Stegostoma tigrinum: one gene and its partner. The protein of the gene in region 1 purifies or fractionates together with the protein of each later gene. This does not show direct contact. Links are inferred from orthologs where the notes say so. Each region holds a gene or a part of one and is shown in the gene's direction. Other genes may lie near its edges. The genes, in order: G patch domain-containing protein 2-like and csnk2a2b.

Region 1 (11,320 bases):
AGACAGAGCGACTGTGATAGAGTTAGTGAGAGTGCGACTGGCATAGAGAGAGAGAGAGAGCGCGACTGGGATAGAGAGAGAGAGAGAGAGAGACTGGGATAGAGAGAGAGAGAGTGAGAGCGACTGGGATAGAGAGAGAGAACGCGACTGTGATAGAGAGAGAGAGAGAGACTGGGATAGAGAGAGACAGAGCGACTGTGATAGAGTTAGTGAGAGTGCGACTGGCATAGAGAGAGAGACAGAGCGACTGTGATAGAGTGAGAGATCGAGAGCGACTGGGATAGAGAGAGAGAGAGAGAGAGACTGGGGTCGAGGGATAGAGAGAGAGAGAGACTGGGATAGAGGGATAGAGAGAGAGAGCGACTGGGATAGAGAGAGAGACACAGGGCGACTGGGATAGAGAGAGGATGAGCGCAACTGAGAGAGAGAGAGAGAGGATGAGCGCTACTGGGATAGAGAGAGAGAGAGCCCGACTGGGATAGAGAGTGAGAGAGAGACTGGGATAGAGAGAGAGAGAGAGAGAGAGAGAGAGAGAGAGACTGGGATAGAGAGAGAGAGAGACTGGGTTAGAGAGAGAGATAGAGAGAGACTGGGGTAGAGAGAGAGGGAGCGCAACTGGGATAGAGAGAGAGAGAGAGAGGGACTGGGATAGAGAGAGAGAGAGAGACTGGGATAGAGAGAGAGGGGATGAGCGCAACTGAGAGAGAGAGAGGATGAGCGCTACTGGGATAGAGAGAGAGAGAGAGACCGCGACTGTGATAGAGAGAGAGAGAGAGAGAGAGACTGGGATAGAGAGAGAGACAGCGACTGGGATAGAGTGAGAGAGCGAGAGCGACTGGGATAGAGAGAGAGAGAGACTGGGGTAGAGGGATAGAGAGAGAGAGAGACTGGGATAGAGGGATAGAGAGAGAGAGAGAGAGCGACTGGGATAGAGAGAGAGACACAGAGGGCGACTGGGATAGAGAGAGGATGAGCGCAACTGAGAGAGAGAGAGAGAGAGGATGAGCGCTACTGGGATAGAGAGAGAGAGAGCCCGACTGGGATAGAGAGCGAGAGAGAGAGAGAGAGCGCGACTGGAATAGAGAGAGAGAGAGAGAGACTGGGATAGAGAGAGAGAGAGAGACTGGGATAGAGAGAGAGAGAGAGACTGGGTTAGAGAGAGAGACTGGGGTAGAGAGAGAGGGAGCGCAACTGGGATAGAGAGAGAGAGAGGGACTGGGATAGAGAGAGAGAGAGACTGGGATAGAGAGAGAGGGGATGAGCGCAACTGAGAGAGAGAGAGGATGAGCGCTACTGGGATAGAGAGAGAGAGAGAGAGAGAGAGAGCGTGACTGTGATAGAGAGAGAGAGAGAGAGACTGGGATAGAGAGAGAGACAGAGCGACTGTGATAGAGATAGTGAGAGCGCGACTGGCATAGAGAGAGAGACAGCGACTGGGATAGAGTGAGAGAGCGAGAGCGACTGGGATAGAGAGAGAGAGAGAGACTGGGGTAGAGGGATAGAGAGAGAGAGAGACTGGGATAGAGAGAGAGAGAGAGAGAGCGACTGGGATAGAGAGAGAGGGTGAGAGCGAATGGGATAGAGAGAGCGCGACTGGGATAGAGAGAGAGAGAGAGCGTGACTGGGATAGAGAGAGAGGGAGAGAGCGAATGGGATAGAGAGAGAGCGCGACTGGGATAGAGAGAGAGAGAGAGAGAGAGACTGGGATAGAGAGAGTGAGAGCGACTGGGATAGTGAGAGAGAGACAGAGCGACTGTGATAGAGTTAGTGAGAGCGCGACTGGGATAGAGAGAGAGAGAGAGACTGGGATAGAGAGAGAGAGAGTGAGAGCGACTGTGATAGAGAGAGAGAGAGAACGCGACTGTGATAGAGAGAGAGAGAGAGACTGGGATAGAGAGAGAGACAGAGCGACTGTGATAGAGTTAGTGAGAGTGCGACTGGGATAGAGAGAGAGACAGAGCGACTGTGATAGAGTTAGTGAGAGTGTGACTGGCATAGAGAGAGAGACAGCGACTGGGATAGAGCGAGAGAGTGAGAGCGACTGGGATAGAGAGAGAGAGAGAGAGAGACTGGGGTCGAGGGATAGAGAGAGAGAGAGACTGGGATAGAGGGATAGAGAGAGAGAGCGACTGGGATAGAGAGAGAGACACAGGGCGACTGGGATAGAGAGAGGATGAGCACAACTGGGATAGAGAGAGAGAGAGCCCGACTGGGATAGAGAGTGAGAGAGAGACTGGGATAGAGAGAGAGAGAGAGAGAGAGAGAGAGAGAGAGAGACTGGGATAGAGAGAGAGAGAGACTGGGTTAGAGATAGAGATAGAGAGAGACTGGGGTAGAGAGAGAGGGAGCGCAACTGGGATAGAGAGAGAGAGAGAGAGGGACTGGGATAGAGAGAGAGAGGGACTGGGATAGAGAGAGAGAGAGACTGGGATAGAGAGAGAGGGGATGAGCGCAACTGAGAGAGAGAGAGGATGAGCGCTACTGGGATAGAGAGAGAGAGAGAGAGCGCGCGACTGTGATAGAGAGAGAGAGAGAGAGAGAGACTGGGATAGAGAGAGAGACAGCGACTGGGATAGAGTGAGAGAGCGAGAGCGACTGGGATAGAGAGAGAGACAGCGACTGGGATAGAGTGAGAGAGCGAGAGCGACTGGGATAGAGAGAGAGAGAGAGAGAGACTGGGGTAGAGGGATAGAGAGAGAGAGAGACTGGGATAGAGGGATAGAGAGAGAGAGAGAGCGACTGGGATAGAGAGAGAGACACAGAGGGCGACTGGGATAGAGAGAGGATGAGCGCAACTGAGAGAGAGAGAGAGGATGAGCGCTACTGGGATAGAGAGAGAGAGAGCCCGACTGGGATAGAGAGCGAGAGAGAGAGAGAGAGCGCGACTGGAATAGAGAGAGAGAGAGAGACTGGGATAGAGAGAGAGAGAGAGACTGGGATAGAGAGAGAGAGAGACTGGGTTAGAGAGAGAGACTGGGGTAGAGAGAGAGGGAGCGCAACTGGGATAGAGAGAGAGAGAGGGACTGGGATAGAGAGAGAGAGAGACTGGGATAGAGAGAGGATGAGCGCTACTGGGATAGAGAGAGAGAGAGAGAGAGAGAGCGCGACTGTGATAGAGAGAGAGAGAGAGAGAGACTGGGATAGAGAGAGAGACAGAGCGACTGTGATAGAGATAGTGAGAGCGCGACTGGCATAGAGAGAGAGACAGCGACTGGGATAGAGTGAGAGAGCGAGAGCGACTGGGATAGAGAGAGAGACACAGAGGGCGAATGGGAGAGAGAGAGAGAGAGACTGGGATAGAGAGAGAGAGAGCGCGCGACTGGGATAGAGAGAGAGAGAGCGCGACTGGGATAGAGAGAGAGAGCGAGTGACTGTGATACAGAGAGAGAGACTGGGATAGAGAGAGAGAGAGCGCGACTGGGATAGAGAGAGAGAGACAGCGCGACTGGGATAGAGAGAGAGAGCGTGACTGGGATAGAGAGAGAGAGAGAGAACGCGACTGTGATAGAGAGAGAGAGTGCGACTGGCATAGAGAGAGAGACAGAGCGACTGTGATAGAGAGAGAGAGAGAGAGACTGGGGTAGAGGGATAGAGAGAGAGAGAGACTGGGATAGAGGGATAGAGAGAGAGAGAGAGAGACTGGGGTAGAGGGATAGAGAGAGAGAGAGACTGGGATAGAGGGATAGAGAGAGAGAGAGAGCGACTGGGATAGAGAGAGAGAGACAGGGCAACTGGGATAGAGAGAGAGAGAGAGAGCGTGACTGGGATAGAGAGAGAGAGAGAACGTGTGCGCCTGGGATAGAGAGAGAGAGAGCATGCCTGGAATAGAGACTGAGAGAGAGAGCGCGTGACTGGAATAGAGAGAGAGAGCGAGAGCGACTGGGATAGAGTCAGAGAGCGAGAGCGACTGGGATAGAGAGAGAGAGAGAGAGAGAGACTGGGATATAGAGAGAGAGAGAGAGCGTGACTGGGATAGAGACTGAGAGAGAGAGCGCGTGACTGGAATAGAGAGAGAGAGAGAGAGCGACTGGGATAGAGTCAGAGAGCGAGAGCGACTGGGATAGAGAGAGAGAGAGACTGGGGTAGAGAGAGAGAGTGAGAGCGACGGATAGAGAGAGAGAGCGCGACTGGGATAGAGAGAGAGAGAGAACGCGACTGTGATAGAGAGAGAGAGAGAGAGACTGGGATAGAGAGAGAGACAGAGCGACTGTGATAGAGTTAGTGAGAGTGCGACTGGCATAGAGAGAGAGACAGCGACTGGGATAGAGTGAGAGAGCGAGAGCGACTGGGATAGAGAGAGAGAGAGACTGGGGTAGAGGGATAGAGAGAGAGAGAGACTGGGATAGAGGGATAGAGAGAGAGAGAGAGCGCGACTGGGATAGAGAGAGAGACACAGAGGGCGACTGGGATAGAGAGAGTGAGAGAGAGAGAGAGACTGGGATATAGAGATTGTGAGAGAGCGTGACTGGATTAGAGAGAGAGAGAGAGAGCGAATGGGATAGAGAGAGCGCGCGACTGGGATAGAGAGAGAGAGAGAGAGAGAGCGTGACTGGGATAGAGGGAGAGAGAGCGCGCGACTGGGATAGAGAGAGAGAGAGCACGACTGGGATAGAGAGAGAGAGCGAGTGACTGTGATACAGAGAGAGAGACTGGGATAGAGAGAGAGAGAGAGCGCGACTGGGATAGAGAGAGAGAGACAGCGCGACTGGGATAGAGAGAGAGAGAGAGCGCGTGCGCCTGGGATAGAGAGAGAGAGAGCGTGCCTGGAATAGAGACTGAGAGAGAGAGCGCGCGACTGGAATAGAGAGAGCGAGAGAGAGAGAGAGAGAGCGACTGGGATAGAGCCAGAGAGCGAGAGCGACTGGGATAGAGAGAGAGAGAGAGAGAGACTGGGATATAGAGAGAGAGAGAGAGAGAGCGTGACTGGGATAGAGAGAGAGGGAGAGAGCGAATGGGATAGAGAGAGAGCGCGACTGGGATAGAGAGAGAGAGAGAGACTGGGATAGAGAGAGAGAGAGAGAGAGAGAGACTGGGATAGAGAGAGAGAGAGACAGCAACTGGGATAGAGTGAGAGAGCGAGAGCGACTGGGATATAGAGAGAGAGAGAGGGAGACTGGTGTAGAGGTATAGAGAGAGAGAGAGAGACTGGGATAGAGAGAGAGAGAGAGAGCGCGTGCGCCTGGGATAGAGAGAGAGAGAGAGCGTGCCTGGAATAGAGACTGAGAGAGAGAGCGCGCGACTGGAATAGAGAGAGCGAGAGAGTGAGAGAGAGAGCGACTGAGATAGAGTCAGAGAGCGAGAGCGACTGGGATAGAGAGAGAGAGACTGAGATATAGAGAGAGAGAGAGAGCGTGACTGGGATAGAGAGAGAGGGTGAGAGCGAATGGGATAGAGAGAGAGCGCGACTGGGATAGAGAGAGAGAGACTGGGATATAGAGAGAGAGAGAGAGCGTGACTGGGATAGAGAGAGAGGGAGAGAGCGAATGGGATAGAGAGAGAGCGCGACTGGGATAGAGAGAGAGAGAGAGAGAGAGAGAGACTGGGATAGAGAGAGAGAGAGTGAGAGCGACTGGGATAGAGAGAGAGAACGCGACTGGGATAGAGAGAGAGAGAGTACGCGACTGTGATAGAGAGAGAGAGAGAGACTGGGATAGAGAGAGAGACAGAGCGACTGTGATAGAGTTAGTGAGAGCGCGACTGGCATAGAGAGAGAGACAGAGCGACTGTGATAGAGTTAGTGAGAGCGCGACTGGCATAGAGAGAGAGACAGAGCGACTGTGATAGAGTTAGTGAGAGTGTGACTGGCATAGAGAGAGAGACAGCGACTGGGATAGAGTGAGAGAGCGAGAGCGACTGGGATAGAGAGAGAGAGAGAGAGACTGGGGTCGAGGGATAGAGAGAGAGAGAGAGAGACTGGGATAGAGGGATAGAGAGAGAGAGAGAGCGACTGGGATAGAGAGAGAGACACAGAGGGCGACTGGGATAGAGAGAGGATGAGCGCAACTGAGAGAGAGAGAGAGGATGAGCGCTACTGGGATAGAGAGAGAGAGAGCCCGACTGGGATAGAGAGCGAGAGAGAGCGCGACTGGAATAGAGAGTGAGAGAGAGACTGGGATAGAGAGAGAGAGAGAGAGAGACTGGGATAGAGAGAGAGAGAGAGTGGGTTAGAGAGAGAGATAGAGAGAGACTGGGGTAGAGAGAGAGGGAGCGCAACTGGGATAGAGAGAGAGAGAGGGACTGGGATAGAGAGAGAGAGAGACTGGGATAGAGAGAGAGGGGATGAGCGCAACTGAGAGAGAGAGAGGATGAACGCTACTGGGATAGAGAGAGAGAGAGAGAGAGCGCGACTGCGATAGAGAGAGAGAGAGAGACTGGGATAGAGAGAGAGACAGAGCGACTGTGATAGAGATAGTGAGAGCGCGAGTGGCATAGAGAGAGAGACAGCGACTAGGATAGAGTGAGAGAGCGAGAGCGACTGGGATAGAGAGAGAGAGAGAGACTGGGGTAGAGGGATAGAGAGAGAGAGAGACTGGGATAGAGAGAGAGAGAGAGAGAGAGCGACTGGGATAGAGAGAGAGACACAGAGGGCGACTGGGATAGATAGAGGATGAGCGCAACTGAGAGAGAGAGAGAGAGAGAGGATGAGCGCTACTGGGATAGAGAGAGAGAGAGCGCGACTGGGATAGAGAGTGAGAGAGAGACTGGGATAGAGGGATAGAGAGAGAGAGAGAGAGAGAGAGACACTGGGATAGAGAGAGAGAGAGACTGGGGTAGAGAGAGAGGGAGCGCGACTGGGATAGAGAGAGAGAGAGAGAGAGAGAGAGAGAGAGCGCGACTGGGATAGAGAGAGAGACTGGGTTAGAGAGAGAGAGAGAGAGAGAGACTGGGATAGAGAGAGAGAGAGAGAGAGTGCGACTGGGATAGAGAGAGAGAGAGAAAGACTGGGTTAGAGAGAGAGAGAGACAGAGAGACAGAGAGAGAGACTGGGATAGGGAGAGAGAGAGAGAGTGACTGTGATAGCAAGGGAAAGGGAGATTGGGATAGTGAGAGAGAGAGGGTGATTGGGATAGAGAGAGAGAGAGACTGGGATCGATATAGATAGAGAGAGAGCATTTGTGAAGGAAAAAAACCGAGTTAATGTTTTGAGTCCGGTGACGCTTCGTCAGAACTGCTACAGGCAAGCTGGCTGGTTTTTTCTTCCTGATTTACACCATCCGCAGTTCTTTCAGTTTTTATTAAGTAGTTGGGCATGTTGGGAGAGTCGGCAATGGGGAAAGGCGTTGGGAATCTGATGCACAAGGGGGCTTGGGAGTCTCCATTCAGGATTCTCTTAAGGTTAATGTGTGGGTTTTGATTTAATTTATTGTCACGTATCGAGGTACAGTGCAAAGTGCTGTTTAGTGCGCGATATATCCAGATCGTTCCGTACCAAGTGCATCAGGCTGCCAGAACAGAGTGCAGAATACAGTATGACAGTCACAGATAAAGTGCAGAGAGAACGAGATCAGAACTAACATTGGAGATATTCGTTTAAAAGCCTGCTATCACCAAGGCAGAAGCTGTTCTTGATCTGTTTATACGTGTATTCAAATTTTTATACCTCCTGCCCAATGGAAGAGGGTGGCAGAAACTATAACCAGGGTGGGAGGGATCTTTGATTAAGTGGGCTGTTTACCTGGGGCAGTGCGGAAATATAGGCGGCGTTAGTGTAAGGAAGGCTGGTTTGTGTGCAGGTCTGGGCTGTGTTCACAACTCTCTAGTTTCTTGTAGTTTTAGGAAGAGCAGTTGCTGTACAAAGTCTTGATGCATCCTGATGGACGCTTTCTCTGGTGCATCGATGAAAATCGAGAACTTTGAAGACATGCTGCCATGAATGTATAAGGAGTACAGTAGGGAACCAGTGTTGAGGACCATTGTGGAGGAGGTGTTTTTGTTTATCCTTGCTGATTGTGGCCTGTGGATCAGGAAGTTGAGGATCCAGTTAGAGGGGGGAGCTGGGAACTAGGTCTTGGAGGGTAGAGATGAGTTTGTTTGGAATTATGATGTTGAAGGCAGGGCTGTACTCAACGAGCAGGTGCCTGACACAGGAGTCTTTGTTATCCAGATGTTCCAGGGATGAGTGCAGGGCCAGAGAAATGGCATCCTCTGTGGATCTGTTATGTTGGTAGGCAGACTGTAGGGGATTGAGGCAGGTTGAGAGCTTGGACTTGATGGTGGCCATGACCAGCATCTCAAAGCACCTCATGTTTATTGAAGTCAGAGCTATTGGACGTTAGTCATTAAGGCACACTGCATGTGCTTTCTCTAGTACGGGGATGGTGGTCTTCTTGAAGCAGGTGGGCACTTCGGCTTGTAGGAGGGAGAAGTTGAAGATGTCCAGGAATGCGCAGGATCTGAATGCTTGACCGGGGACACCAACTGGGCCCATCATTTTCCTTGGGTTGACTCTCAGGAAGACTGATCTGACTTCTGAAGAGCGATAGACAGAACAGGTGTGCCTCAGGCTGTTGGGGCAGGAGTTGCCATGCTGGTGGTATTCTGCTCAAACGGAGCATAGAAAGCATTGAGCATGTCAGGGAGGGATGCATCGTTGTCCGCTATCTTATGCTGTTTCATTTTGTATCCCGTAAAGTCGTTCAAGTTTTGCCATAGACATCAGGGATCTGTTTGGCAGGTCTGGGCCTCTGACTTGGTCTGGCACTGCTTCTTGGCCTCCCTGATGGCTTTGCGGAGGTCATATCTGGATTTCCAGTATTGGTCTAGGTCACCCGACTTGAATGCTGCATGCCTGGTCTTCAGTAGGGAGTTGATTTCCTGGTTCATCCAAGGTTTCCAGTTGGGGAACACTCTGATTGACTTCTTTGGTACAACTTCCTCAGGGAAATGTCCCCGGCCCATCCATTTTCAGCTGCTTCATCAGTGACCTTCCCTCCGTCATAAGGTCAGAAGTGGGGATGTTCGCTGATGATTGCACAATGTTCAGCACCATTCATGACTCCTCAGGTACTGAAGCAGTCCATGTTCAAAAGGAGCATGATCTGGACAATATCCAGGCTTGGGATGGCAAGGGGAAAGTGATATTCACGCCACACAACTGCCAGGCTATGACCATCACCAATAAGAGACCATCTGATCACCGCTCCTTGACATTCTATAGTGTTACCATCACTGAATCCCCCACCATCAACATCCTGGGGGTTACCATTGACCAGAAACTCAACTGGACTCACCACATTAACACAGGGGCGGCAAGAACAGGCCAGAAGCTGGGAACCCTGCCGGGAGTAACTCACCTCCTGACTCCCCAAAGCCTGTCCACCATCTACAAGGCACAAGTCAGGAGTGTGATGGAATACTCCCCACTTGCCTGGATGGGTGCAGCCCCAACAACACTCAAGAAGCTTGACACCTTCCAGGATAAAGCAGCCGCTTGATTGGCACCACATCCACAAACATCCCACTCCCCCCACCACCGACACTCAGCAGCAGTTTGTACCATCTACAGGATGCACTGCAGAAATTCACCAAAGATCCTCACAGCACCTTCAAAATGCACGACCGCTTCCATCCAGAAGGGCAAGGGCATCAGACATATGGGAATACCACCCCCTCCAAGTCACCCACCATCCTGACTTGGAATTATATCGCTTGGAGCAGTTTACATGGTGTAAGCCTTGCCACATTGGCAAAGTCCATGAGGTTGGTCTAGGTCTCAAGCTGAATTTAGTATTGCCTCTTGGCGTCTCTGCTGTCTTTGTGAATGCCATTCCTGGGTTTCCTGTATAGGCTGGGGTTGCCCAACTTGTACACCTCCGATCTGCACTTCAGCAGGGAGCGAAGCTCCTGGTTCATCCAGGGTTTTTGGTTGGAGAAGGTTAGAACTAACTTCTTCCACATGCTGTCTTCTACACATTTACTAATGAAGTCTATAACAGGAGGGGCGTGCTCCTTTAGACTTGTTGCTACGTTTATGAAAATGGACTCGAAGCAGTTCCATAGAAGCCCTTCCATTACCTCACAATAGCACAGCACTACTTTCTGTACTGGGCCCTCGCACTTCAGTTTCTGTCTGTCAGCCGGGAGGAAGTGCACAGCATTGTGATCGATTGATGGAGTGGTTGGTGCCTTCGGTTGTACAGAAGTGGTCGAGGATATTGGGATCTCTGGTGGGACAGTGGCGATGTTGATGGTATTTTGGTAGCATGTTCCTGTGGGTGGCCGTGTTGAAGTTACTGGCTGTGATGGACTCAGGGTATTCTGTCTGTGGTCTGTCGAATTGTATACTTTGTCAAGAGTACTGTCACTTCCACATGGGTTGGGATGTAGACCGCGGTCAGTGTGGCAGGGGTGAGCTCACACAGCAGGTAGTAAGGACATCACTTTACTGTAAGATATTCTAGGTCCAGGGAGCAGCAGGATCACCACGAGGTGTAGATGTGGAAGTAAACCCCTCCATCCCTTGACTTGCCCTGGGACACCAGCCAGATTGTACAGTGAACTAGAAACCCTCAGGTTGTAAAGCACCCTCAGGTGTAGCAGGAGGGAGCCATGCCTCTATGGGACAGAGCACACAGCAATCTCTCAATTCCCTTTGCAAGGTGAATCGAGCTTTAATTGTTTTCAATGGTTTGAACATTTGCCAGCAACATGCTGGGGAGGAGGGGCAGATGGAGCTTGAAACCCTGAAGTTTCAGTCTTACCTGACATCTGGTGTGTCTCCCAGGTTTCCTGGGTAGGCGGCTGTCCCCAGTCAATCCGCAGTGTTGCTGAAGTAAGTCTGTGCTCCTCGCGGGTTCCCAGCCACCAGTCACAGCCCTGACTGCCCCATGGGGTTCTTGTGGTTGGTTTGGTCGGGCCTCCTCAATGTCAGCTAATTGTGGGGTCAGGCCCTGTCCCCGCATCGGTCAGACCATGTTCCCAGATTTCCACAAGGAGCCAGGCTTGCGGGAGTACAGTAGACCCCTGGTCCCTCTGGGCTTGCGGTTCCAACATTGGTTAGACAAACCTGAGAGAACGTTGTTGGTAATTCTGATGGACATAGCAGCAGAATGACTGTGACATGTAAGAATAAGATCTGCTTCAGACAGCTCACAAAATGTCATACGATCTGGTACAGCCATCTTCTAAAAGTTTAGCAGGATCCCAGCAAGGAGGTTCAGCTGGCAGCTAGGAAGGCAAATGCAGTGTTAGCATTCAGTTCAAGAGGGCTAGGATACAAGAGCAGGGATGCACAAGGCTGTATAAGGCTTTGGTCAGGTTTACTTTGGAATATTTTAAGCAGTTTTGGGTACCATATCTGAGGAAGGAAATGCTGCTGTTG
Region 2 (11,230 bases), on another chromosome or scaffold:
CTGAGTAGGTATGCAAAATTATGAGACACATAGAGTAGATTGTGAGAATCTTTTCCTCATGGCACACATGACTAAGACCAGAGGGCTTACGTTTAATGTGAGGGGTAAGTGGTTTAGAAGTGATCTGTGGAAAATTTGAGCTTCCCTGATTCCCTGAATCAACAATCTCTGGTGTTATGGATCACAACAAATTCTCTCAAAACATGTCAAAAACCATATCTTTTTCTAATTTTAAAGGCAAGTGGCAGGCATTGCATTCTGGATGCAATTTGATTGGTCAAGCTATCAGGTTTGAAGCAAAACTTTATTCATGCACTACAGTTAAAATATAGACAAACTAAAATTAAAAGAATTGGTTTAATTGTAACTCTATCAAAATACTTAACAAAATAATAAACTACTGATTAATTTTTCTGATATAGTGACATCCCATTAGCACACCCTTGTCACACATGCAATTCCAGCAGCAGGAAGCTTTTAGCTGTAGAGAGAGAGATATAGCAGCTTTCACAACATCAACAGCTATTAAAAATGATACTAAAGTTCCTGGTTCTGTGGGAGCCCACAGGTCGCTTCTATTGTTCCAACCTTTTAAAAAAAATCCCAAGACCTCACAAGCTGTTTACTTTATTGACTAGAAGCAGACCACTCAGCATCTCTGTCTCAATCTCTTCACAGACAAAATACACTTCTTAAAGCCATAGTAACATCACATTGGATATCATCAAATCTGGACAACATCGCTCTATTTTCTGTTTTTCTTTATTTTAATCTTTATAGTAAATTTTAGAATTCATGGTTCTTTTAAGGACAGAAACATTTTAGGATATATTTCGTAATGAATTATTCTGCTGCTGAGTTGGAGTAGTGTGCTGATGTGACTGTGGCCTAGAGACTCTAGGAGGTGTAAATAGGCAAATCCTGAAGCCAATTAGAGGCCAAAATCTTACTGGAGGTGATTTTTTTTTGTAGATTGACAGTGAGGCATAATCCCTAATTGATCCCAAAGGACAGAAGGAGAAGGTACTAAATTATTCATTTTCTTTCTTTTTTTCAATGCATTTGCCACATTGAAGTTGATTACCTGAAGACTGATGGATGCACATTAAATGCAAGATTTTTATATTTACTGGATGATCAGCTTTGGCGCTGCTTAGGGTGAGTCAGATAATATCTTATGGGATTTGGTATTTAGTTTAACATGAGCACCATTTCTTTATGATAGTTGAATAAGTCAGACTTTTTATCTTGATGTATTGTGGATATCTTCGTGAAAGTTTTAGCACTTGAATTCCATAATTGTTTCATTTTAATACATGATATGCTACTTTATGAGAAGATTATACCTTACAGTAGAGAATGTTTTAGTCTAACAATAAATTTTAGATATAGGAATAGAAATAAATTAATAGAACAAAATTGTTGACTTGCTCGCCGAGCTGACTTGTTCTCGTTCAGACGTTTTGTCACCATGCTAGGCGACATCATCAGTGTATCAGTGCTCCACTATGATGTCACCTAGCATGGTGACAAAACGTATGAAAGAGAACAAACCAGCTCAGTGAGCAAGTCAACAACCTCATCTACAACCCAAGCTACAGATGTTTGCCAAAACATTAATGGAACCAACTAAAGGACAAAATGTAACTCAGTTAAGAAGGATGACAAATTTAATTGAAAAACTCATTGCAGTGATTTTTGAACAAAATAAGTGGGAATTAAAATAAATTAAGTAAAACTTGCATTAATGTAACATCTTTCACAGACTCTAGACATTGAGTAATTTACAGGCAAGGAAACACATTTATGTGGTCAATGATGTAATTATGAAAAGTGGGAGTCATTTTTTTATGGAGCAACGAAATGACCAGATCATCTGTTCTGGCTGTTACTTGATGGTTCAGGGTTTGCCAGGACTGAGAGAACTCTGCGTTTTATTTCTTTGAATAATGCCATGGCACTTTTACAGTCACCTGAGAGGTGCTGAAGGCTCTGATTCCAGAAGCAGGATTTGAATCCATAAACTTGTGAGTCGGTCGGAAGTGTGACCACTGCACCAGGGCTCACACCTTAATATTTACATGAAATTAAAATGTGTGCTTTATGTATTGTAAAGAAATGCTTCTCAAGATCTGTTCCACTCTGACCCACCATTTGCCGCTTCAAAATCAGTCTGACCCAGTATGCCAATAAAAATTTTAAAAAGGTTTGTAATATTTGTGTTGTTACAATGTTACATATTTTACAAAGAAAATTAATCGAACTTTAAAATACATGCAAAGAATCTTACAAGATGGTTCTCAGAAGTGACGTGACCGCCTTTGTGAACTCAGTGGTGTTGAGACCAGACCATACTATACAGTACTTATGTCAAGAAGAAATTGACCAGACATTTTGAAGCCCAGCAGATATTTCCAACAGTAACTAGAAAGTCTTTGGCAGTGGTTTCCCTGAAGTTGTGAATAGCTGTGCTTATCTCTCCAAAAGACTACAGAATAAGAACCATCCAAGCAAATGGCTAAAGCAGTTAAGAAAAAATACCTAACTAAAATATAATGAATGGGTTTGTGCCTAAGATAATTCAATACAGAGACAAAATTCAACAGTTTTGGGATAGCAGCTATTTTAAGTTTTGAACTGTATAGAAGTCTGATTGTGAACAACCATTTCATGCAGAAGAGGAGAAGGGGTTAACATTTCTACACTAGTTATTAAAGACCCAGGTTACTGATCTTTGGTCAGGGGTTTGAATCCCACCTCAGCAAGTGGTGGAATTTAAATTCAATTTATAATGGAATTGAAACCAGTTTCAATGATGTTGCAGAAGCACAGTTGGTTCACTTGTCTTTTGGGAAAGCTGGCTCTAAATATGTCTCCTCAGCTACAGCAATGTGGTTGTCTCTTAACTGCCCACTGAAGTGAGCCTCCCAATTCATTCAGTTCAAGGGCAATTAGAGATGGGCAGAAAATGCTGGCTTTGTTCCACAAAATGTTTGTTTTAAAAATGTGAGAAACGTTTTAAAGCAGTAACTGCTTTTCAAGCAGGAGACAGAAGAAAGTTTCCAGATTTGCTGCACTGAACCAGACTACCGATAGTCAGAACAGGTACTGCTGTAAAAATGAAAGTAAGGAGCCTGCGCTCACTTCCAAAACACTTCTGCTTAGTTTACTGTGGCAGCTGTTTGACTACATTGCACCCAAGTTTTCAAACCCTTCAGGTCAGAAAGAGAATCTTCAAGCAAGCCAGGCCTGCTTCATAGTAGACACTGATATCAATTTCATCTTCATTTGTGACATTCATCCTCACTTACTTTAAATCTTTGAATCTGTATTTTAACAAATAATTTGATAGGTGTTTACTTGAATAAATTTCAACAATTGTTTTCTGATAATGTGTACAATATATTTTTGTATTTTGGAAATTTTTCTTTTTAAATTAGAGGTAATATAGATTTTGGTTTCAGTGCTGTGAAGGTAATTTTTTGAAAGAGATCAGAAAATAATTTGTGACATTGAAGTAAATACATGATTTATAAGAAAGCAGATGACTTAGTAAGTGCCTGTCAGGGTAGCCAGGGTGTTAATTTATTGAATGCTTCCCAAGTGGAATTTTTATCACATACAGAGGAAACAGTACAGGACCGTTAGCTTTTTTTGAATTCAGTTCACAATCAGGTTTCAGTTCAGTAGGGCAGTTTCAAACCAGCAGCGATATTTCAGTTTGTGAAGTTTTCAAACTTAGAGTTGTGTGGAATTTTTCACGCTATCGGAATTGAGAAGTGGTTTATGCTAATAGAGCTAGAAATAAGTCCCTTATCAATCACAACTGGAAAGATTCGGCTAAGTAAGACATTGCAGCATTAAAAGTATTAGAAACTCTTTAGTAGGATTCTTTTCTCATTCATTGCACATGGGCATTGCTGTTTGACCAGCATTTATTACCTGTCCCTAGTTGCCCTTGAGAATGTGGCGGTGAGCTGCATTCTCAAACTGCTGCAGTCCATTACTGTAGGGAGGGACTTCCAGGATTTTGACCCAATGACAGTAAAGGAACAGCGATATGAGGCTGCCTTGGGAGACAAGGGAGGAAATCATAGACCCTAACCCAAATTTTTAATTCTTCTCTAGCCAAAGGAGGGGTGCGAGAGGACTGAAGGACAGCTAATGTGGTTCCACTTTACAAGTGGAAAGGATAAATCAGGAAATTATAGACCAGCGAGTCTCAAATCAGTGGCCTGGAAACTATTGCAGAAGGTCGTGAAGGAGAGAATCAATCTCCATTTAGAGTTGCAAGGATTCATCAGGGTTAGACTGCAAAGTGTTGTCAGAGGGATTCTAACAAATCTGGTTGAATTTTTTGAGGTGATGAAGTGTGCAGATGTGTGCAGTAGAATTGATATAGTTTGTCTGGATTTCAGCAAAGATCCCCCATGGGAGAAACACATGTTAACAGCAGAATAATACAAAGATAAAACCACATGGAATTCAGGGTAGATTGGCAACTTGGATACAAATTTGGTTTAGTAGTAGGAGAGGTTGTTGTCAAAAGTTTATGTGATTGGAGGTTGGTGTCCAGTCGGGCACCATAGGAATGAATGCTGTGGCGCTTATTGGTCATGATTTATATAAATGATGTAGATGAGAATGTGGAGGGAATGATAGGTAAGTTTGATGCAGAGATTGGCCGGATGGTTGTCTGTGAAGAACGATTTTGGGTTATAGGAAAATTTAATGGATTGGTCAGATGGACAGATCGAAAGCAGAAGGAGTTTAGTTAGCTCTGGTAAATGTGAGGTGATGTGTCTCCCCTTGCTGTTTAGCTCCTACTGTGAACTTATGCTGAAGTCGTGGGCTCTACCATAGCAGCAGAAGTTGTTAAGTACGGCTCGTTCCAATTGCATTGACAAGTCTATGCCACTAGATGGAGCTTGGCCAATAGAAACTTCCTCAGGTGAAGGTAGTGCTATAGTAGAGAGAGCAAGAACTGCAGATGCCGGGAGTCGGAGACAGCCCAGTGTGGAGCTAGAGTCAGGCTAGGCAGCATCAGAAGAGTCGTACTTAAACTGGATTTTTCTGCTGTCAAAATGTATGTTGCTTTAAGGTTATTTTATTTGCGTAGGTAGGCACTTAAGAATATGCACCATTTCAACTTAATATTTTAAAATGCCTCATGGTCTTTATGCACCTACAGTCAACGTCCCTAATGTCAAAACATGAAACCGCTTATAGGGTGAAATGCCAGTTGGTGGGTAAATGCGAGACAACAAGATGTAGAGTTGGATAAACACAGTAGGCCAAGCAGCATCAGAGGAGCAGGAAAGCTGATGTTTCGGGCCTAGACCCTTCTGTTCAGGAAGCTGATGCCTTGCGTAGACTTTACAGGTCCACACAGCAGACGGAAAAAGTCAGAGGGAATGCAACTTACTGTATATATGATATATATTTAGTTTATAATTGTTAATTTAACTTGCAAGTTATTTCATCTAGGAATACGCAGCACCGCATATGCATGGCACAGTATTACAACTTGAACATTATTATCACAAAAGAAGAAATGCAGAAGGAACGTGACTCCAGTTTTATTTCTATCGGTACCAATGATTCACACAAGTTTCAGCAACGTCTCCATATAATCTATGAAAACCTAATATTGGCGGGTGTTACAGTTTGTGGGGATTTTTCTGTCTTAATTCCTTAATCCCTTTGTGCCGCTACCCGTGTATTATTCTGTAAGGCATTAGAGCCTGTGGTAAGCGTGTGGGTCATGTCTCATTAAACAGCGCCAGGTGCCGCAGTCGCTGGAGCGGACAGCCGGCGTCGCTCAGCTTCAGTGGGGTGCCGCGAGGGGTCGCTGCCGCTGGAGTGTGCAGCCGGCATCGCTCAGCTTCAGCTGGGTGCCGCTAGGAGCCGCTGCTGCCGGCGCTCGTCATCCTGTGGCCCTCGGTGTCTTCTCGCTGATAGAGCGAGCTTGTGACCGGTTTCTCAGGGTTGGGTCCGCACCCGGCGGAATATTTTCTTCCGCTGCGGGCCTCCCTCAGGGAAGTCCGGTTCGGTTTTGTTGACTTCGGTCTGTTCTGCTCTGCTGTTTGATCCTCCGTAAGGTTTCTCATAAGCTCGTTGCTGTTGCCCCGACCGTACCCATCTTTTTCGGGATCCGCACTGGGCCTTTCTAATCGACCCCCCGCGCCCCGGGGGAGTTCCCGCTGGCTCCACGAACCCTGCTACTGAAGTTATCCCGGGTGGTGCTGCGTGGGTTGAGGCCGGGCCTGGCTCCCGACTGTCAGTCTGCCCCGTGGCGGTGCGGCTTCTGTGTCCCCCCCGCTGCCCCCTCTTGGGGATTTCGTCCCCTTATCCCAGAGCTGAGCCCTGGCTCTGCCATGCCGGGTCCGGCTACCGGGAGCAGGGCCCGCGTGTATGCCGAAGTAAACAGCCTGAAACCCCGCGAGTACTGGGATTACGAGTCACACGTTCCTGAATGGGGGTAAGAAACACAGTATGTTGTAGCAGTGAGGTTAAAATATGACTTGAATGCATAGACATCTGCCTGTAGGCGGGAATATATAGATGCTTGTTGCGTGGATTAATGAAAATGTATATACCAGAAAAATAGTAAAGTCTTGATGTGTGGAAACCTTGTGTATATGTCTGGCGGATGTTTAAAGGCGTGTATAGAATATGGAAACGTCTAATTCGTATAAAAATGGACTGTAATTGACTTGGTTATACCTAATACGTCTAATTGTTAATTACCCAAGAAATGCTGTGAAAACATGTTCTGTCATGGTATGATTTTTTTTCCAGTCCTGTGTCAATAACCTGCCCCACCTCAAAGTCCGTATCAATCAGCACTAGCTTTTGCAGTCATTAATGGTGTGGAAATGAAAATTAGTTCAGTTGCTAATGACTTTAAGTCATATCCTGAGCCTAAAAGTTCACTATTTAGGTTTCAAACTCTTGTCTGAGAAATTTGGAAGACTATTTCATTTCATGAAATTTTCCTAAATGGTAAACTTAATATTGTTGCCTGTTTTACTGCTAATTTAGTTCATTGAGGTATTGGAGATTAGATCTGTCACTGGGACTAAGAACCTTTTCATGGTTAGAGATGGCAGGAACTGCAGATGCTGAAGAATCTGAGATAACAAGGTGTAGAGCTGGATGAACACAGCAGGTCAAGCAACATCAGAGGAGCAGGAAAGCTGATGTTTTGGGCCTTGACCCTTTTCTGAAGACATCAGCTTTCCTGCTCCTCTGCTTGGCAATCTGTGTTCATTCAGCCGTACACCTTGTTATCTCTCCATCTTTTCATGGTGTCTATTTAACATAGGAGCTAATAATGTGATAAGCAGCAGAAAGCTTGCATGTGCCTAGGTGGTTAAAGTGTTTTTAATGTTTTTATAAACCTGTTCAATTGTACTATGATACACCTCTGGAGTAGGTAGAATTTCAACATGGGTCTTCTGGTTCAGAGGTGGGGAGGCTGAGCCACAGGAGTCCTATTAAGATGTTTTATATTTGTCGTCTTGTTAATTTCTGCCTAAATACTTGGCCTGCAGTAAATATGACACATCCTAACTTTGAAAAGCTGTACCCTCCATGTTCTGTAAGTCGAAACAACTGAGTGTGTTTCTGAAAGATAGTGTGTTTGGAGGTTTAACATGGCGAATGATTACTTTCTGGTGATAGGTATCTGCTATACATAGCAAAAAAACAAGTCACCAATGCCTGATAACATTTATTTCCCATTAACAGTTTTTTTGTGTTGAAGGTTTGCTTTTAGTGTTGAACGTTTACTGAAATAGACTGTTCTTGTCATGGTTTCACTTGCCATAATGTTGACAGTTAAAGGCTCGGTTAAAACGCTCGTTCGAATGAGGGTTGAATGCGGTCTAGTGGTACAATCCAAAAGTATCCAGTGTTTGGGGATGTCTAGTGAGGAGTTTATTGTTGAGATTTGTTTCACCCATGCTTTAAGCCCAAGACCCAGACACATTTCCAGAGGTGAATCAGAGATTGGTGATTCTTAGGTGGTCAAAAGGTTGCATCCAATTTCAATGAAGCTCAGCTTGGTTCTCAATAGCCTTCGCTACTATTTATGTGCCTTTGGAACATGATGCACCTTGGCCCAGTAACTGTGTGTATGCAAAATAGTTTCTCATCCAAATTCTCTGGCATCAATTTATGTTGTGATATACAGATATTAACTTGACATAGCAACTTCAGAATTGATTTGTATTGGTAGATACATAGAGTTTCTCGACTGTGCAAATAACTACTGAGGATCCATAAATATTTTAATATAATGTTCTTACTGAAAGTTGCCAAAACTAAAGTGAGAATATTTGAAAATTGAATATTTGACTGAGGACTTGTTTAAAATGCTTTGACGAGAGAAGGGAATCAAGACTCTTAGTAAATGGTGGGATGGGTGATGGGAAAGAAAATTGAGAAAATCTTGTAAAATGTAAAGAGCAATTACTGTTAAGCAGATAACAAAAAAAAACATAGAATGAAGTTCCATGCACTAAGACTGCAGCTGAGCTTTTCCCGCAATGTGTTGTGTTGCTTTCTCATCCAGTCTAGTTGGTGTTTTCCAGTTAAACACTTGGGAAACCTAAAATACCACCTCAGGCTTTCAACAAAAGTACTGTGTCCTCCCCTCTAACTCCATAACATTTCCAGTGCAACTTTGATTTCCAGATTTGTCACGAGCTGACGAGCAGATTCTTTATTGTTGCTCCCAAAGACTATTGACTTACACCTCAAAAAAAATTATGTACACCTAATTACGCCTTAGTCATGACTGACTTAGTGCTCCACTCCTCATTGCCTGGCACTCCATTCCCCATAAAACAGAACTGTTTTCGTCCTCCCACCTTAACCTGTAGCAAATGTTGATCCTGACTTACGTTGGCTCTTCATCCCTTAACACCTTGTTATTTCTGAACTTCTCTAGCTTTACTTTCCCTCTTTTCTGTCCCTGACACATTCATCATCTAATTTTGGCCTCAGATGCACCAGTTTCTCACCAATATTGATCATGCTTTCAGCTGTCTAGACTTTTATACCCTGGAATTCTGTTCCTCAACCTGCCGGTATCTAAGTTTCTTCTCCTTTGACAATTCTTAAAATCTGACTTTAGTTTTCAGAAATATTGATTAATTTATCCTATTGCTTTGTTCTTCCTTGTACTTTCTCTGAAGCACCATGAACTTTTTTTTTCCTGTACTGAAGGTGTTTTGTACTCTAATTGTTCTCAAAAGAGCCAGGATAGAGCATGACTTTCTTCACGTCTCAACCCTGCTTTCAAGGCGAGGTGGTGAACCAAAGCCAGCTGTGTCTTCACTGTGACCACCTGGTAAACAAATCTCAAATTATGTGGGCATGGGTCCATTTTGTCATATGCAGTTTGTCCAAAGTGGCATGTATTCTACTCTGGAAGAAAATAAAAGTTTGGGAGATCTGACAGTAATAGTAGATTCAATACGCCACATGTAGAATAGCAAAGAACAGACAAGCAGAACCCTGCGCAATATTACTTGATCAGTGAGTCTGAATCTCAGCTTTGCCTCATGAAGCAATAAATTAGTTGGGCCAAAAGCAATATAAATTAAATGAACTTGAGATTGATCCCAAATATTAAGAGATTCTTGCAAAGAAAAATTCGGGAAAAAAACTTTCATGCCTTTATATTAGATTACTGGCCAGCATTTTTTAGTGGGTGAGTAAAAAGAGTAACATAGAATGCAAGTTAGTTGATAAGGAATGGAGCAAACTAGGAAAAAGTAATTTCTGGTCTAAAGTCAAGAAGCACTAGTGAAGGTTAAAAATTCTCATCATGTCAGTGTTCCACTGCTGGCACATGAATGTCTGTTTTAAGGATAAGCTAGCTGAGTCAAATGTTGCATTCTTTTGTATGAAGTTTTGGAATCATTGTCAAATTGTTTAGAAACTGAAGGCACCATTTCATTTAAAGCAACCAAATGTAATGCTATTTTATTGTGTAAAAAAGGGAATAGTTATGAGAAGTCAATTATTGTCATGCGTCTCATGTCTTTTTAAAATTTCTGTCCTCTCCCCTTAAAAATGTGCCCCCTAGTCTTGAAAAACTCCATCTTAGGGAAAAGACAACCCCCATCAACTCTATCTATACCTGCCACTTTTTATGAACTTCTATTGGGTCACCTCTCAACCTCCCATGCTCCCAGTGAACAAAGTCCTAGCCTATCCAGCCTTTCCTTATAACCCAAACCTTCCATACCTAGCCACATCGTTGTAAATCTTTCCTGAACCCTCTCCAGCTTAATAATCTCCGTCCTATAGCTGTGCAACCAGAACTGGACACAGTATTCCAGAAGAGGCCTCACCAATGTCCTGTACAACCTCAACATAACGTCCCAACTCCTATACTCAATGCAATGAGCAATGCAAAAATGGCAGAGGGAGTTCAGTCTGAGTAAATGTGAGGTATTGATTTTGGTACAACAAACAAGGGTAGGGCTTTTATGATTAATAGGGCTTTGCGTAGTGTTATAGAACAAAGGGACCGAGGGATGCAGGTACCTAATTCTTTAAAGTTTGTGACACATCTCAACAGGATGATTATGGGACTAGTTTAATTTGGGATTATGTTTGGCGTGGACTGGATGGACCAAAGGGTCTGTTTCTGTGCTGTATCGCTATGTTGATAATGATCATGAGTATCAAAGGTTTAAGCTAGCTCAGGGAAAGTGACAAGGGACAAGGGGCAATGTGAAGTAAAACATTGAAATCGGAAGGCCACTTTCAGTGGGGTAAGAATGGATGTGATCTAGGTAAAATAGAAACAAAAGATAATATTGGAACATCGGATTGTTTTAAAGTGGGTATAATTGAAATACATTTGCACAAGGGCAAAATGCAGAGCAACCAAAGCCAGAGCTCCTTGGATGACAAGCTGAGAGTAAGTTGAAGCAGAAAATGGGGGTTTTATGACAGATCTCATTGATGATGTAAGTACATTCAGACTGTATTGAAGAAAACTCAGAATTTTAAAAAGAAATCAGAGGCAACAGCAGTATGAATGGGGACTGTAAGAACTTAAATAGTAAAGCAGCAGTGAGGGAGGGAGGGGTTGGGGCAGTTTATGCATGCAAAAAGGAGTCTACACGTGGGAGGAAGCTTTTGGACTTTAAGCTACTAGTATTGGATTAGATGCACTTCATGATAGTGAGGGAGGCTTTTGTGGATG

The links.
Region 2: the proteins of G patch domain-containing protein 2-like (region 1) and csnk2a2b purify together in Homo sapiens (affinity purification with mass spectrometry; 5 studies listed by BioGRID and IntAct, counting the BioPlex papers as one, with this or other methods). This does not show direct contact. The link is inferred for Stegostoma tigrinum from reciprocal best matches to the Homo sapiens genes GPATCH2L and CSNK2A2.

The regions. Positions count from the first base shown.
Region 1 is NC_081363.1:1,722,470-1,733,789, reverse strand, and holds the start of G patch domain-containing protein 2-like, read left to right. Parts: upstream 1-6,868; 5' UTR 6,869-7,177; intron 7,178-11,320.
Region 2 is NC_081369.1:10,831,011-10,842,240, reverse strand, and holds the start of csnk2a2b (casein kinase II subunit alpha'), read left to right. Parts: upstream 1-5,945; 5' UTR 5,946-6,377; coding exon 6,378-6,481; intron 6,482-11,230.